Ovis aries: one gene and its partner. The protein of the gene in region 2 purifies or fractionates together with the protein of the main gene of each other region. This does not show direct contact. Links are inferred from orthologs where the notes say so. Each region holds a gene or a part of one and is shown on either strand. Other genes may lie near its edges. The genes, in order: EXOC6B and EXOC7.

Region 1 (8,922 bases), on a different chromosome or scaffold from region 2:
AGCAGGTACCATGAAGAATGCTTTATCTCCTTTTTTTTAATACTGTTCCTGCAATGTAGGTGGTATCCCCATTTAAAGATGAAAAAAAATTGCCCACTCAGGTGGTAAGTTGCTTACAAAAATAATTAACTGCTTAAAGAGGTCCATACAGGGACCAATAACGAGAAAGTGTCAGCAACCAAGGATTATGATTATCTGGATTTTGTAAAACTTAGGTAATGGTGGAGAAGGCAAGGGCACCCCACTCCAGTGTTCTTGCCTAGAGAATCCCAGGGACAGGAGCCTGGTGGGCTGCAGTCTATGGGGTCGCACCGAGTCGGACACGACTGAAGCAACTTAGCAGCAGCAGGTAATGGGAGGCCAAAGGATGGAAAACAAAGTCATGTGGCCAAAGGCAGAGAAGCAGTAAGCGGGGAGGTCAGTTCGCCATATTTAATTATCAAATGACATCCAGCAAAAGAGCTTTTGGAAATATTCCCCATATTTGTTTTCTGGAAGAGGCAGTTTTATACACAGTTTGGGCTTCCCTGGTGGCTCAGCAGTGAAGAATCTGTCTGCAATGCAAGAGACATGGACAGGGACAGAGGAACCTGGTGGGTTAGGGTCACAAGAAAAGGTCACAACTTAGCAACTAAACCACCTCCACAACCAAATAAGCAAGAGAGAAAACTGTTGCTATACCAAAAATACAATTTTTTAACCACAGAATAAATAAAGCAAGCATCTAAAAGGAAATGCACCAGAACAACGGCAGCTATGTTACATTAGTACAAGTAATTCCTAATACAGCTTCCAAAATTTTTATAATGTTGACATAATTTTTAATGTTTTAATAGTGATAAAGATCGGAGGAGGGAGGGGTGTTCAGGATGGGGAACCTGTGGCGGATTCATGTCAATGTATGGCAAAACCAATATAATATTGTAAAGTAATTTAAAAAAAATATCAAATAGATAATATTCTATCATTAATACCCTTTGTTAATCTTAAAACCTACCATTCCATATGGTAAGACAAGATTCAGTCCCTACAGTCAAGTGCTTTACTAGGATCAAATATAGCAATAATATCATTCTTACAACACCGGCCCCTTAGAAATGGAAGGCAGCAACTAAGCTAAAAAGAGAAAATCGTGAGCTGAAAACAATAGAGCAAACTTCTTCCCAGATGAGAACACGCAGCAAGGCAGGTGCAATAAACACAATGACAAGGTCTTGAAGGTTACACTGCTGCTACAAATAAAGAACATAAATTTCATGATAAAAAGACAAAATAAGTCAACCAGAAATATACCTGGATAAGAAAAAATGACACTCAACAAATGATGCTGGAAAAACTGCACATCACCATGCAAAAGAATGAAATTGGACACCCTTCCTTATATGACAGACAAAAATTAACTCAAATGGATCACAGACCATGATGTAGAAATAAAGTTATACAACTCTTAGGAGCAAATCTTCATAATCTTGGGTTAAGCAAAGGTTACCTAGATACAACACCAAAAGCACAAGCAAAAAAATAAAAACTAGATATGCTGGCCTCATATCAAAATTTAAAACTTTCGTACAGCAGGTGATACTATCAAGAAAAATGAAAAAAACCACCCAAAAGAATGGAAAAAAGTATTTGCAAATCCTATTCCTGGTAGAAGATATATCCAGAATATATAAAGAACACTTATAACTCAACAATAAAAATAATCCAATTTAAAACTGAGCAAAGGAACTGAAGGCACTGCTCCAAAAAACATAATACACAAAACATAAAACATAAACAAATAACTATTAAGCACATGAAAAGATTAACCATTAGAGAAATGCAAATCAAAATGACAGTGAGATACAATTTCATATCCACTGGGATGGCTAAAATAAAAAAAGATAGCAACAAGTGCTGACAAGGATATGGAGAAACTAGAGCCCTTATACATTGCTAGTGGGACTAAAAAATAGTGCATGCATTTTGTTACAGAGTTTGGCAGCTCCTTAAAATGTTCTATGATTCCATTTATACAAAGTGAACAAAACAGGCAAACCCATGAAGACAGAAAGTAGTGACTGCCTGGGGAAGGGACAGAATGAAGACTGACTGCTAATGGGTATGGGGTTTCTTTCAGGGCTGATGAAAATGTTCTAAAATTAGATTGTGGTAACTGTTACACAATTCTGTGAATTCGATAAAAAAAAAAAACATTGAATTGTACAGTTTCAATTGGTGAACTGTACAGTATATGAATATCTCAATAAAGCTACTGTTTTAAAGGCAAAGTATTTCACTGCTAAATTTGAAAGTCTGTTTTAAAATCTCAAATAACAATTAAGACAATATTAATTGCCAGTACCCAGAGAGCAAAGTGAGGAAACAGCTTATTTTGAATAAGTGATATGAAAGAAGACTAGAGATACATAGATGTGATTTGAAAAATGAGAATATAGAGCTATTGTTCATGAGTGATTTGTGACCAATATTCTGTGATCAATTTTTGCAGTGTATTAGCAGCACAATATTTTGTGATCAATTTCTGCAGTGCATTAGCACTACAAAGCAAGAATCAATATCATTTTAAAAACAAAACATGCCCTTACATCTAATGGGCCTCTTTCCTCATCTGCAAAATTAGGACTTGTAGCTAACAAAATAATTTTCGAGATGAAGACAGAGAAGAGATGGCTGCTTCCCCAAAAGAATCTTCTAGGCAACAGCCTCTGTATATATGGATAAGCTTGGGACTTTTAGAATTACAATAAATAAAGAAAGTCACTCCTTATGATAAACAGTAATCAACTAATACTGCAAGTACTATTTCAAGATTAAAATAAGGATAGTCATATAATGAAAAAGTCAAGCCATTGTGGCTCCTCAAACAAAAAGGGATAAAATTGGAAGAATAATTTGGTACCACAAATTATTATTATTTAATTCCTCTGCAGTTAGAACACCTATCTCAGGGACAAGTAAGAACCAAGAGCCTTAAAAATGCCTCAAAAGACAGAAGAAACAGGAAAGACTATGAAAAGGGATAGAGGCTGAGATTTACAGTTGAGGGTAATGGTAGGAAGAAGAGCCTATTGCCTTTAGCATACCTGTTTACTGACTGTGATGGAAAACCACGAGATAGTGATTATCAACATGCACCCAGGGTTAAAGTATGAGATCTGAAACACCAAGTCTATGCATGTTGCTGCCTCTGCATGGGATACGGAAGAAAGATGAGATCATCTCCTATGAACACGGGCAGGAACAAGCTAGACTGAAGACAAAGACAGTGGATATTACTTGTTTTGTAGGATGTTCACATGATTGAATCTTGGGTCTGATAGTTAAGATTTAGGGTTATCCATCAGAGACAGGACAATGCCAAAAATAAAAAGTCCCTGATAAAGAAAAAAGGGAGTCAACAACAGAAAATAAAACTAGTAGGATAGTGCAGTGGTTCTCAAAACTTTTCTTACCACATCCCCTTAGGACAAAAGATCTCTACTTCATCTAGCCCAAAAAAAAAAAAAAATCACCACCTTCCAATGGAGTTCAGTGATAATGCAGCAAATTTTAGGGAAAATGGATAACATTTTAAACATAATGTATATATTCTTCAGTCAATATAATGGAAAATTACAGGCTAAAATTCAGCTGAACAAATATGCATTATTATTCAGTGGAGGGCTAACATAATAAATCACAACAAACTAAACTGATAACACTAAATTAAGTCATTTATCATATAAACCAAGAACAACAGCAACTGAAAACAACCAACTCAAGACAATAGTAATGGTATTCTGATGAAAAATCCTTCCTAAAAACTCTGGTAATCCCAAATATTCCAGTGGGAGCTTTGCTTGGCTGCCAGCTATATAGCTCAGCAGCCAAATCTCTCAGTAGAATACTCAAACAGCATCCTCTGTAAGTCTAATAACATTTCATTTTACAAAAACTAAATATTAATAACCAATAGTAATGTACATAGAATACCAGTAAGTAATCTTAGTTTTTATAAAAGTAAAGATAATGGAATAAGGGTCATTCACCTTTAAGAGCTCAAGAAAATATGAAAAGAGAGGACTGTGACAGTCATGATCATACTGCAGTCAGGGACAAAAAGCAGACTACTGAGGATGGTCATGCCCCATGTCCAGGGATGGCACTGGGGGAACCGTGTGCCCTGGAGAAGGAAGCTGTGGAGGTGGAGATGAGAAGCGAAGTCCGCAGCCTGCCCCTCTTTCAACCACTTTCATGAGGCAACTTCTCCCCGTGAAAAACACAAGCAGTGAGTCATAATCTTTATGAAGGGAGGAATAGCGCCCCAAGACTGGACGAGGTGGGTAAGATCATTCTCTCTGTTGGCTGCATGGCGATCAGAAGGTGCCACAGGAAGGACGCTGTGTTGGTTCTAGGGCACTAATACACTGAGGGGAAAGAGAAAGGTAGTTTGCGCTTGGGTGAGTAATTAGCAGAAAGTACGGATAGATGGTGATCCCCAACTGAAGCAGAACAAGAGGGGTTAAGAATGCATACTCTGGATCCAGAATGCATGAGCAGGAATCGCGACTCCCCTGCTTTATGTTCCCTGTGACCTTGGGCAAGTCACTTAACCTCTTTGGGCTTCATCTGTAAAATGAGGGTAATAACAGTACCTACCTAATAGGGCTGTTTTGCGGTTTGAATAAGTTATACTTGTAAATCTCTTAATAAATGGCTTGCGCTGTACACAGTAAGTTGTAGCTAAGTTTGTTAAATAAGTTGAGGTAGGTGGCGGCTTAGTTTGACGTCTCCAGTGAAATGGGGGTGTGTGGGCAAAGTAAGTGTCACGGGGAACGGAGGGAGATAACGTCTTTTCGGCGATGAGCACCAGGAATCTGACCTTTGGGGAGGTCGTCCTCCTGACAGTGCTCAGCAAGTACTCGCTCCCAGGAGACGGGCGCGCGGGTTGAAACTTCCTTCCTTCCAGGCCTAGGATTTTCAGGAACTCGTTTCTGAGAAGTGACTGTGATTTTTAGAGGTAAGAGTTTGCTCTCCGAGCAACAGACCGTGGGGTGAATTCTGTTTTGCCTGAAGAGCAGGACCTGAGTCTGGGGCAGAAGGGTGATGTCCTCAGGGGGACCCTCTCCTAAGAGCCACCATCTGTCCGGCGCGCTCCGGCTGCCCGCGCCGGGCCAGCCTCGGAGGGAGAACGAAGGCTGCCCCAGCCCTGAGGGAGGCAGTAGGAGCCTACAGGGTAACGGGGCTGCCGGCGCCGACGGTCGGGAAGGAACCCCACGCCAGGTCTGCGGGGCTACGGAGGGGGACCTGCCCTGCCGAGGGTGGAGGTCGCTCGCCGGGTTCTCCGAAGGGAGGGGCCGGCGCTGGCCCTGCAAGAGGCCGGCCAGGCGCACAGTCCCGAGGGAGCCTCCTCCCGGGTCCCGCCCGTGCCCACCCCTCTGTGGCCCCGGTACCCAGGGTACCTGAGCGTGGGCCCGATGCAGGCCGTGTCGGTGCTCTCGATCTCTCGAAGAATCCGTTCGTGCTCCGCCGCTGTCTCCAGGCTCTCCGCCTCCGCCATCTTAACCCGCTCCATAGACTCGGGGAGCCCCGCAGCGCGTCCCCTCCCTCAGCTCCGCTCACCTTTCGCTCTCAATCTCTCTCTCTCACTCCAGGCTCCCGGGGATCCTAAGCCTCGGGCCACCCGCAGGACGACCCCTCCCTCAGACTGGGCACGCCCCCTAGCATCACCACGTCCGCGGACGTTCCGCGCGATGCCCGCTGGGATTTGTAGTTCTCTGGAAGAAAGCCTGATTTCACACATCATTCATTGAAGCCACAAACTTCTGTTAAAAGCTCCACTATAGAGGGAAGCGGGAGGGGGGTTCAGGATTGGGAACACGTGTACACCGTGGCGGATTCATGTTGATGTATGGCAAAACCAAACAATATTGTAAAGTAATTAGCCTCCAATTAAAATAAATAAATTTAAATTTTTAGAAAAGAGCTCCACTATATCCAGTGGCTAAGATTCCGTAATCCCAAGGCAGGCTGCCTGGGTTCACTCCCTGGTCAAGGAATTAGATCCCATGTGCTGCAACCATGACCTGGTGCAGCCAAATAAATAAAATTTTTTTTTGGGGGGGGGAGTTCTACTGTAAGAAAGAACAATTAGGAACTTCATATGCAACGGCGATTGTCAGACAGCTCTTGTTGAAGACCCTTGCCTCAAAGTCCAAAAGCCTCTTTAGGCACGAATATTAAGGAAGGATTAACTGGGTTTCTCTGAACAGATATCTTACAAGTTATGAAAGACGAAAAGCCCAAAACTAAAATACCCAAAACTAACAGATAAGGTGTAATGTACCTCTAAGCAAGTTCTGAGAATCAAACACTGCAAGCACTTTTGTCTGTGAAGAATTCATTGACAGACTATGCCTGAACATTTCAAAAGGTGTGATTGGAAGGTGTGAGAAGCACCTAGAAAACCAGAAAGAACTTCATTTGCACTGGTGTATAGAGAATTAGCAATGAGAGATGGTGCTAGAAGAGCATCTTGGAAGAGGAACACCAGGAACAGAAATGTGTACTTTATTCTAATGGCTCAACTGGGCGAACAACCACCTGCATCAAAAGCATCTTGGATCTCTTTTTAAATACAGATCAAAGACTAGAGATCTCTTCAAGAAAATTAGCAATATCAAAGGAACATTTCTTGAAAGGATGAGCACGAAAAGGACAGAAACCATAAGGACCTAACAAAAGCAGAAGATATGAAGAAGTGGCAAAAATACACGAACTATACAAGAAGGTGAAGTCAAGTGGGCGCTAGAAAGCATCACTACGAACAAAGCTAGTAGAGGTGATGGAATTCCAGTTGAGCTGTTTCAAATCCTGAAAGATGATGCTGTGAAAGTGCTGCACTCAATATGCCAGCAAACTTGGAAAACTCAGCAGTGGCCACAGGACTGGATAGGTCAGTTTTCATTCCAATCCCAAAGGAAGGAAAGGCCAAAGAATGCTCAAACTACTGGCACAAATGCACTCATCCCACATGCTAGTAAAGTAATGCTCAAAATTCTCCAAGCCAGGCTTCAGCAATACGTGAACCATGAACTTCCAGATGTTCAAGTAGGTTTTAGAACAGGCAGAGGAACCAGAGATCAAATTGCCAACATCTGCTGGATCATGGAAAAAGTAAGAGAGTTCCAGAAAAACATCTATTTCTGCTTTATTGACTATGCCAAAGCCTTTGACTGTGTGGATCACAATAAACTGTGAAAAATTCTGAAAGAGATGGGAATACAGACCACCTGACCTGCCTTTTGAGAAACCTATATGCAGGTCAGGAAGCAACAGTTAGAACTGGACGTGGAACAACAGACTGGTTCCAAATAGGAAAAGGAGTACGTCAAGGCTATATATTGTCACCCTGCTTATTTAACTTCTATGCAGAATACATCATGAGAAACGCAGGACTGGAAGAAGCACAAGCTGGAATCAAGATTGCTGGGAGAAATATCAATAACCTCAGATATGCAGATGACACCACCCTTATGGCAGAAAGTGAAGAGAAACTAAAGAGCCTCTTGATGACGGTGAAAGAGGAGAGGGAAAAAGTTGGCTTAAAGCTCAGCATTCAGAAAACAAAGATCATAGCATCTGGTCCCATCACTTCATGGGAAATAGATGGGGAAACAGTAGAAACAGTGTCAGACTTTATTTTTCTGGGCTCCAAAATCACTGCAGATGGTGATTGCAGCCATGAAATTAAAAGACGCTTACTCCTTGTCATGACCAACCTAGACAGCATATTAAAAAGCAGAGACATTGCTTTGCCAACAAAGGTCCATCTAGTCAAGGCTATGGTTTTTCCAGTGTTCATGTATGGATGTGAGAGTTGGACTGTGAAGAAAGCTGAGTACTAAAGAACTGATGCTTTTGAACTGTGGTGTTGGAGAAGACTCTTGAGAGTCCCTTGGACTGCAAGGAGATCCAACCAGTCCATTCAGAAGGAGATCAGTCCTGGGTGTTCTTTGGAAGGAATGATGCTAAAGCTGAAGCTCCAGTACTTTGGCCACCTCATGTGAAGAGCTGACTCATTGGAAAAGACCCTGATGCTGGGAGGGATTGAGGGCAGGAAGAGAAGGGGACGACAGAGAATGAGATCGCTGGATGGCGTCACCAACTCGATGGATGTGAGTCTGAGTGAACTCCAGGAGTTGGTGATAGACAGGGAGGCCTGGCGTGCTGCGATTCATGGGGTGGCGAAGAGTCGGACATGACTGAGCAACTGTACTGAACTGAACTGATACAAGAAAGGTCTTAATGACACAGATAACCCTGATCGTGTGGTCACTCATCTAGAGCCAGACATCCTGTGGTGTGAAGTCAAGTTGGCCTTAAGAAGCATCTATTTTTGTTTCGTCATTAAGTCTTATTCCCCTCTTCTGCAGCTCCACTGCCTGGAGCCTGCCAGGCTTCTCTGTCCATGGGATTTTCCAGGCAATAATGGAGTGGATTGCCATTTCCTTCTCCAGGAGATCTTCGCAACCCAGGAATCAAGCCCACATTCTCTTCCATCTCCTGCTTGAAAGGTGGATCCTTTACCACTGAGCCACCTGGGAAGCATTACTATGAACAAAGCTAGTGAAGGTAATGGAATTCTAGCTGAGCTATTTCAAATCCTAAAAGATGATACTGTTAAAATACTGCAGTCAATATATCAACAACTTTGGAAAACTCAGAAGTGGCCATAGGACTGGAAAATGTCAGTTTTCTCTCTAATCCCAAAGAAGAGCAATGTCAAAGGATTTTAAACTACAGTATAATTGCATTCATTTCACATGCTAGCAAGGTTCTGCTCAAAATCCTTCAAGCTAGGCTTCATCAGTACGTGAACCAAGAACTTCCAGATACATAACCTAGGTTTAGAAAAGGCAGAGGAACCAGAGATCTAAC
Region 2 (8,408 bases):
CCCGGCCTCCTTCTCTCTCTCTCTCGGGCACTAGGTCTCCCTGCCTCTCTCCAGACGGGAGTGCAGGCTGGGCTCTCGGGGCCTGGGCCGAGGGCAGAAGCTGCAGGCGGCCCCTTGGAGGGTAGGGAGCGCCCGCACCTGACTCCAGCAGCAGGCTCTGACCCCCTCAGAGCCCGTCCCTTGGCATGTAGCATCCAGTTGCCTGCGGACACCACTGCCTCAGCCTCTAGTACCGGGAGGGACCCCCTGCTCCTCCTGGGGCAGCTGACAACCAAGCAATCCTCCCTGTCTGGGGCTCACGTGGCCTGCTCTTCAACTTTAATCCCATGTCAGCTAGCCTCATAAACCAGAGCCCACTGCCTTTTTATACATTCCAGGCCTGGCCAGGCCGGTGTCTGCCTTTAGAGGCCCAGCATCTTCTGAGATGGCGCCAACCTCCTTGGGGTGGACATTGCCTCTTGCCCATCCCTGGGTGTCGTCTTCCCAGTACAGTTCAGAATCCCCTGTCTGGGGTCAGACGTGTCTTCTCCGGGAAGTAGACTGAGGGGTCTTCTTGTCCTTGAATCCTCCCCCACACCTCCCACACCTGACGCTCTGGGATAGTAATACTGCCCACAGCAGAGCTGAAAATGAAGCTCAGACCAAGGCTGGACTCAGCCCCATTTTTCCCTCCTCAAACCCTGGCAGCTCTGCTGGAGTCCTCTCAGCTTTCTGCCAGCAGTCTTCCTCCCATCTGCTGCCAATCTGGCCAGGAGCTGGAGAGATTCACGGCCCCCACCCCAGCAGGGAGAGGGGCTACCCCAGACCAGTAGCTCAGGGGCCCTGCTGTCCCCCCAGGGAGAGATGACATGCTGGACGTGGAAACCGATGCCTACATTCACTGCGCCAGTGCCTTTGTCAAGCTGGCCCAGAGCGAGTACCAGCTGCTGACGGACGTCATCCCTGAGCACCATCAGAAAAAGACCTTCGACTCTTTGATACAGGTCTGGCCCCGCCCCGCCCCAAGTGAGAGCTATCCCTGCAGAAGCTTGAGTCTGGGCCAGGTTCCTAGCCCTTAACTCCAGCCACTGCCTCCACCCCGATCCTGGGGCCTCTGAACTGGGTGATCAGAGGCACACACCTCCTCACACCCTTCCAGGTCCCCTCACTGGCCATGGGAGCCGGCTGGCTGCCCCTCCCCTGAGCCCTCCCCCTGCCCCGCTCTCTCAGGACGCCCTGGACGGGCTCATGCTAGAAGGCGAGAACATTGTGGTGGCCGCCCGCAAGGCCATCATCCGCCACGACTTCTCAGCCGTGCTCACTGTCTTCCCCATCTTGCGGCACCTCAAGCAGACCAAGCCTGAGTTTGACCAGGTGCTCCAGGTACGTGGGGGTGGGGGGGGCCCTTGGGGATGCTGCCTAGCAGGGCCTCCCAGGAGAACTGCATTCTCTGCTCAGAGTGGTGGGCAGCGGCAGCTTCCTCAGGGCCCTGGGTGGGTGGAGGCACTCTCAGGGGAATGAGGAGAAGAGACAGTCCCCGGGGCGGGGGGCTGGGAAGGAGCAGGGCTCCGGAGCCCTGTGCAGCCCTGTGGCTACATCCTCAGGGCACAGCCGCCAGCACCAAGAACAAGCTGCCCAGCCTCATCACTTCCATGGAGACTGTGGGAGCCAAAGCGCTGGAGGACTTTGCCGACAACATCAAGGTGCCCTTCCTCTGTTCACGCCACCCAGGCCGGCAGGCGGGGCTGCAGGCAGGGCCACCTGCGACCGGCCTCAGGAACTCCTGAGAGCAGGCCTCCAAGTGGGTTGGGCCTGCCCTGCAGGGAAGCCAGCCAGCCGTGCTGCTGGTCTCCTGTCAGTACCCACGGGCCTCCCTTTCTTTCCCAGAGGCCCCCACTTGAGGCATCAAGCTCCTTTAGGTCCCTCTTGCTCGTTTTTTGTGCCGGATGGGGTGTCCTGACACTTGTCTGCCAGGAGGTGGTGCTGTGGGCCCACAGACGGGTGCAAGGTTGGCTGGGGCCTCCTTAGGAGCTGTTTCAGGGACTCAGGCTGTCTGTCCCACAGAACGACCCCGACAAGGAATACAACATGCCCAAGGATGGCACCGTGCACGAGCTCACGAGCAACGTAGGTGCTGCTGGGGACTCCTGGGGCGGGCGGGGGGCGCAGGTGGCAGGATGGGCTGGAGGCGCTAAGTGCCCTCTGCAGACGGGGCCTTTCCCTGGAGGCCAGACCCACAGGGTGAAGCAGCAAGTTTGCTCCCACCCGTTTCGCCTGCCCTCACCTGTCTGGAACGGTCAGAGGGGCTGCATTGTGGGGGCTGATCCAGCCTTTGGGTCCTGCCCTTAACCTTCTTCTTGGCCCCGTTTTCTCCCCACACAGGCCATCCTCTTCCTGCAGCAGCTCCTGGACTTCCAGGAGACGGCAGGTGCCATGCTGGCCTCCCAAGGTACTTGACACCTCCCAGTGGGGCCCCCCACCCCATTCCTCCCTCCAGGCTAGAGACATGGGGTTAGCCCCTCCCCAGGGGGCACCCTCCTCTCTGGGTGAGGAGATTCCCCCCACCCTGGGTGGGTGGAAAGGAGTCGTGGCCTGTGACGGGACCTCCCTCAAGCCTCTTGGACCATCAGACCCAGCATCAGGAGAGCAGGGTCTGACCACCTGCCCCGGCCTCCGTCCCCCCGGCTCCCTCCACCGTCCTCGCCCTGGAGCGCGGACCCCACTTGTCTGAAAGTGTCTTTCGTGCCCCGCTCCCGCCTCCTCCTGCACTTCCCCACCTCCTCTTGTGTTGCCTGTCCTCCTACTTGGTCTCACACTGCTGACCCATTGAGCGGGCTCGGCTGGCATCTCAGGGCCAGCCTGGTGTCTTCCCGTGACTGGGGCTGGGAAGTCAGCACGTGGGGAGGCGTGTGCTGAGACCCAGCCCTGGGCCTCCCCTGTACCCCGCATCCTGGGGGCAGCCTCTGGCCTGTCGTTCTCCTGATGTCCACTTTCCAGTGTGTCCCTGGCCTGCGGGGGTCCAGCCTGGGCTTTCCTGCTGTCTGTGTCCCGGTGTCGAGGGGCGTGGGCTGCTTGGCTCGGGTGTGGCGGCCGTCTCTAACCTGTTTTGCACTTTGCATCTTTCTCCCTCCTTTGTCTCCCCCCTTCCCCTCTGTGCGCACTGCCTCTCACTGCGTAGTTCTTGGGGACACATACAATATTCCTTTAGACCCCCGAGGTAAGCAGCAGGGCTCGGCAGCCCCATCCTACCCCTCTGAAGCCCCGTGGGTGAGGTTCCCTGGGGACAGAGGCCCCTGGACAGGCTCAGGGCCCCAGTCCGAGCAGGGTCAGAGGGGCACGGGTTCCTTCAGGGTGCTCCTGACCCCCTCAGCTCTCTGACCACCAGTTTCTGTCCCTGGGCTTCTGCAGACAGCATCCTGCTGTGCCCAGCACCCTGACTACACCCTTTGGGCAGGTCCAGCACCTCCCTGTCCCCTTCCTCCCCTGTCCACTCCCCACCCCCCTGGCCTTCTGCTCTGTGTGGGCAGGACACCTCTGGTCTGGTAGAGGAGGTTATGGGTAGTGGGGGAGAAGGTGGAGAGGCCATCAGGGGCCTATTCTAAAACTCTGCTGCTAACAAATGGGATATGTGGGTCTTGTAGGTACCACCCAGCTTGGGTGGGGGGAAGGGGCTGTCCCCACGCCCATCCTGCCCGTCTTCCTCCTGGTCCTTGGGGGCCAGCTCATTAACCCTACCACCCAGGACCATGGAGGGGCCTCCCCGGATTCCAGAAGAGTCCCAGGAAGCGCTCCCCTCAGCTGGAAGGGAGCCCCGTAGCTCAGGACATACCCAGCTCTGACTAAGGAAGGCTCCTCCCAGGGTTTCCCCAGCTGTTCCCCTGGCCAAGGGGAGACCAGAGAGGGTCTCGGCTGCTACCACCGCCGCGGTAACAGGACTTCTCCTCTCGCAGAGACCAGCTCCTCCGCCACCAGCTACAGCTCCGAGTTCAGCAGGCGTCTGCTGAGCACGTACATCTGTAAGTGGCCCCTGCCAGCCAGCAGCCCTGGTGCCTGGCCTCCCTGCCTTTTCCCTTCCTTCTCCTCTCTGTGTGCTCCTGCTAGTCCTGGGCCCGCTTCTGAGGGACCCCACCCTGCCCCGACCTTTAGAATTGCAACCTGATCTCTGGTTGGGGGATTGTGGGCGCTGGGCCAAGGACTGCTGAGTCTGGTGGGGTCTTGGGTCCAGGAGGGACAAGGAGCAACGAGTGGGAGTTGGTTTGCGGATCAGACTGCCGTGGTTGGTAGGTAACCACGTCCTTCCCTGTGCAGGTAAAGTCCTAGGCAACCTGCAGTTGAACCTGCTGAGCAAATCCAAGGTGTATGAGGACCCGGCTCTGAGCGCCATCTTCCTGCACAACAACTACAACTACATCCTCAAGGCCCTGGAGAAGTAAGTGGCCGCGGGGGCTGCTCTGGGGCTCACCTGCCTCTGCCCGGCCTCCTGGGGATGGCCATGCCCCCTGGTGTCCCGGTGGAGAGGGCACCCCTTCACCCTAGGCGGGCCCAGGACCCAGGGAGGTGGGAGGCAGGCCCCGTCGAGGTTGCTGCGAAGGCCAGCAGCCTGTGGGACCTCCTCTCTCTCCTCCCGCCCCCCGCTCCCACCCCAGGTCCGAGCTGATCCAGCTGGTGGCCGTGACCCAGAAGACTGCCGAGCGCTCCTACCGGGAGCACATCGAGCAGCAGATCCAGACCTACCAGCGCAGGTGGGGAGCCCCCCACCTCGACCTGCATACCCACCACTCACGCTTCCTTCCCAGAGCCTGGGGACGCTGGGCGGGGTCAGTGGTGGGGAACTGCTGCCCAGTGGACCCCAATCCTCTGCTTTTTAATCACATTTGTTGGGGGTGGGAGGCCCCCTCCCACTTGCTACTCCTTGGCAGGGAAGGGGCACTTTGCCAGTCTGTTCAAGGGTAGTCTGCCAAGGGTGACAGCTAAGAATGGTTGACTGTCAGAGATGTGGGTAACTTTTTGGCCGAGCAAAGAGCAAGGTCGCAAGGGCCCTTGAACTTGGCCGAGCCTCGCCCTCCGGACCTGTCTCTGGTCCTCTCCTCCTGTTTCTTAGTTCGTGTGTCTCTCTCCCTTCGGGTGTTTCTTCCCCGTGGCTGTATCTCCCTCTTCCTTCTTGTTTATCTGCTCCTCCTTTCTCATCTGCTTCTCCATCTAAATTGGCTGTGATGCTGACATGAACTGCAGTCGGCAGTGCTTAATCAATCTATTGAGTGCTCTGTTTCCTGTCCTTAATTTTAAAAGCGAGCAGCTTGAACATTTTTATTCCCAAGGGGGGAGAAAAAAAATCTCAGCTGTGTTTTGCTCAGTTTTGACCCAAACCGATCCCTGCCCTCACCACCTACCCCAGTAGATGAAGAGATTTTTGAAAAAACAAAACCCCAGGAAAGGGAGCAGGGGCCTGAGGCTGTCCCTTTTCTGCCCTGTGTTTCCCTCCCTGCCTCGCAGTTGGTTAAAGGTGACTGACTACATTGCCGAGAAGAATCTACCTGTGGTCCAGCCTGGAGTCAAGGTGAGCTGAAGGGGAGGGGAGGGATGGCTAGTGGATATGGTGCTCTATGTTGTCTCTCTGGGAAAAAAAGTAAACAACCAGGATGAGAAAGCAAGGATGCCTGTGGCCCCGGGGGCAGAAGGGAAGGAGCCAGGGGCAGGGCGCCTCTGCTCTGAGCTCCACTTTGTCTGCTATCTCCCCCGGCCCCCAGCTTCGGGACAAGGAGCGGCAGATGATCAAGGAGCGTTTTAAGGTAAATCAGGATCTTCTCCCCTCCATCGATTGATGTGTAGCAACACAGACCCAAACATTTGTCCCTGGATCACTGCTATTTCCCCCTGTTTGGTGGCCAGGGCTTCAACGATGGCCTTGAGGAGTTGTGCAAGATCCAGAAGGCCTGGGCTATTCCCGACACAGAGCAGAGGGACAAGATCCGCCAAGCTCAGAAAAGCATCGTTAAGGAGACCTACGGGGCCTTTCTAAACAGGTGAGCCCTTCATCTCTGCCTTCCCAGCCCCACGCTTCCCTCTGCCCCAACTCAAAGACCTCTGGGCTCTTTTCTTTGAGAAAACGTGGAGAGAGGGGGTGGGTTCAGGTGGCAGACCCAGCACCTATGGCTTTGGTGTGGGGCCAGACCAAAACACGACTCGGGGCACACCGTCAGGAGGGCCTTAGGCTGAGGCAGGGCTAGGGGCGGGCTCAGCCTGCACCCCCTGACCTTAGCACCTGGGCAGGTATGGCAGCGTGCCCTTCACCAAGAACCCGGAGAAGTACATCAAGTACCGCGTGGAGCAGGTGGGGGACATGATCGATCGCCTCTTTGACACCTCGGCCTGAGCTGCCACTGCCCCTGCCTGGCTCTGCCAGAGCAGCTGTGTTACTGGACAGATAAACAGGTGTGGACTTGCCTCTGGGCCGGGTGAGTGTGGCATCCTTTGCGACAGGGGCATTGCTCTGCCACCCAGCCAGGAGCCCTGCCCCCGAGTCATTGAGTCCTGGTCTGCCCTTCCTCTCGCAGCCCCCATTCCCTACCCAAGCAGCGCTCTCCCAGAGCTTTGGGGTTTGTCACCCTGACCACAGCCTGCAGCAGCCACAGGATGGCTTCAAGATGAGAAGGACAGAGAAGGGAGACAGAGGTCTGTGCCTACAGCTGCCTTGCGGGACGGGAGGAGGAGTGCTGAGTAGCCCTGCCTCCAGGCCAGCTCGGAACTGGTGTGGTGAATGCCCTTCAGCCCAGGCCTGAGGTTCAGGCTCAGGGGAGCAGGCCATACTGCAGCCCCAGGCCCTGCAGAAAAGCAAGGAGGCTGGACTGCTCTCAGACTCAGTGCAGAGAATGCCTGCCCCATTCCCACAGTCCTGCTGCCTGGGGGGTTCTGTCCCCAAGGTGCACCCGGTGGCTGGAGTAGAAGTGCCCTCCCTGCCCTCTGAGCACTCGGCCGGAGCTCACAGGAGGGATCCTAACCGTCCCGGGCCTGTCTCGGGGGCTCCAGTGCTCCTGGCCCGGGGCTAAGCGGCAGCAGTTGCTGAAGGAGCAGTTAGGCAGTGTTTGGGGACTGGGGGACCAGCGGACAGTGGTGAGACAGTCTGAAGCAGAATGGGGCTCAGGGACGTGAGATGGGGCCCCACCTACTCCAACAAAAGTAAACAGCGGAACGTGACAGAGACAGACCCCAGAGGTGCCCTTGCCCTGGGGTGATGTGTTTATTCCACACTCCTTGCTTACGTGCCAACAAGAAGGAGAGCTTGGGGTGGCTGGGGGTCCTCCAGGCTGAGGGAAGAGAGTCCACCTCCCTCCCCGTCCAGAGGCCCCGTCACAGCCCTCGCCCCCCAGGTCTGCAGCCCTGGGCCTTGCCCGTTACAGCCTGTGCTGCCCGCCGTGGGGTGCGGCTGCTCCAGGGGCGGGTTCCGACTTGCATGTCGCCCATATCCAGAGCACAATGAAGATGATCTGGCTACACGCCACCCCTACCACATACACATGGAAGAAGATGTGGTCAGCAGCCTCCGCCCAGCTCCTTCGGGACCCCTTCCGTGCTCCAGGGGCTTCTGTGTGGGCAGGAAGAGCGAAAGAAGACAGATTGCACGCTCTGCGTGTGCACAAGGGTGAGCCCCAGAGGGTGCTAGTCTGCCCCCCTTCATCACATTCACAGCTAAGGAACATTTGGGTCTAGCCCCTTTTAGATCATCGTGAGTTGAAGAAATGCCCCCTGAGAGAGGCTGTGCAAGGCACAGGGTTATCCTGTGCTAAGTCACTTCAGTCGTGTCCGACTCTTTGTGACCCCATGGACTGTAGCCTGCCAGGCTCCTCTGTCCACGGGATTCTCCGGGCAAGAATACTGGAGTGGGTTGCCATACTCTCCTCCAGGGGGTCTTCCCGACCCAGGGATTGAACCCATGTCTCTTAAGTCTCCTGCATTGGCAGACGGGCTCTATATCCCTAGTGCCACCTGGGAAGCCTAGAGAGTCTGAAGTCACTGGGCCTTGGGGAGGCTGATTCTGCTCCCTGCTCCAGACCTGCTGCTTGTGAGCACAGCCATGGTGGAGTCCGGGCAGCAGAGCCGGCCGAGGTGGGTGCAGGAACCTCTAAGGAGCCCGGTGACCTGCAGCCCCAGTCTGCCAGCTCTGCCCCTAGGCCTCCTCCTCCACCCCGCCAGGAAGGGGCCCCAGCCCCTGCCCACCTTCAGGGTTAGGCCCTGGCTTCCCGCGGTTGTGCTGCTCCCCATTCAGCGCTGGAATGGGGCTGTCCTCTGCCCTGAGCTTGCCCCGGGCCAGGAGCCCGGTCAACAGCACAGTCTCGGTGGTGCTGACAAAGAGCAGCAGCAGCAGGATGGTGAAGTAGTAAACTGGAGACGGGGTGGAGAAGAGCGGTCAGGAGCCAGGCCTGGCCTCGCGG

What was found.
Region 1: the proteins of EXOC7 (region 2) and EXOC6B purify together in Homo sapiens (affinity purification with mass spectrometry; 3 studies listed by BioGRID and IntAct, with this or other methods). This does not show direct contact. The link is inferred for Ovis aries from reciprocal best matches to the Homo sapiens genes EXOC7 and EXOC6B.

What each region holds. Positions count from the first base shown.
Region 1 is NC_056056.1:94,828,007-94,836,928, forward strand, and holds the start of EXOC6B (exocyst complex component 6B), read right to left. Parts: upstream 5,692-8,922; 5' UTR 5,558-5,691; coding exon of another isoform or gene 5,445-5,557; intron 1-5,444. UniProt on the Homo sapiens protein: Component of the exocyst complex involved in the docking of exocytic vesicles with fusion sites on the plasma membrane.
Region 2 is NC_056064.1:54,917,048-54,925,455, forward strand, and holds the end of EXOC7 (exocyst complex component 7), read left to right. Parts: intron 1-837; coding exon 838-983; intron 984-1,209; coding exon 1,210-1,362; intron 1,363-1,583; coding exon 1,584-1,682; intron 1,683-2,043; coding exon 2,044-2,106; intron 2,107-2,361; coding exon 2,362-2,428; intron 2,429-3,157; coding exon 3,158-3,196; intron 3,197-3,929; coding exon 3,930-3,995; intron 3,996-4,287; coding exon 4,288-4,408; intron 4,409-4,625; coding exon 4,626-4,721; intron 4,722-5,472; coding exon 5,473-5,536; intron 5,537-5,726; coding exon 5,727-5,768; intron 5,769-5,868; coding exon 5,869-6,002; intron 6,003-6,249; coding exon 6,250-6,352; 3' UTR 6,353-6,423; downstream 6,424-8,408. Other genes in the region: ZACN (zinc-activated ligand-gated ion channel), read right to left, coding at 7,371-7,561, 8,194-8,358. UniProt on the Homo sapiens protein: Component of the exocyst complex involved in the docking of exocytic vesicles with fusion sites on the plasma membrane.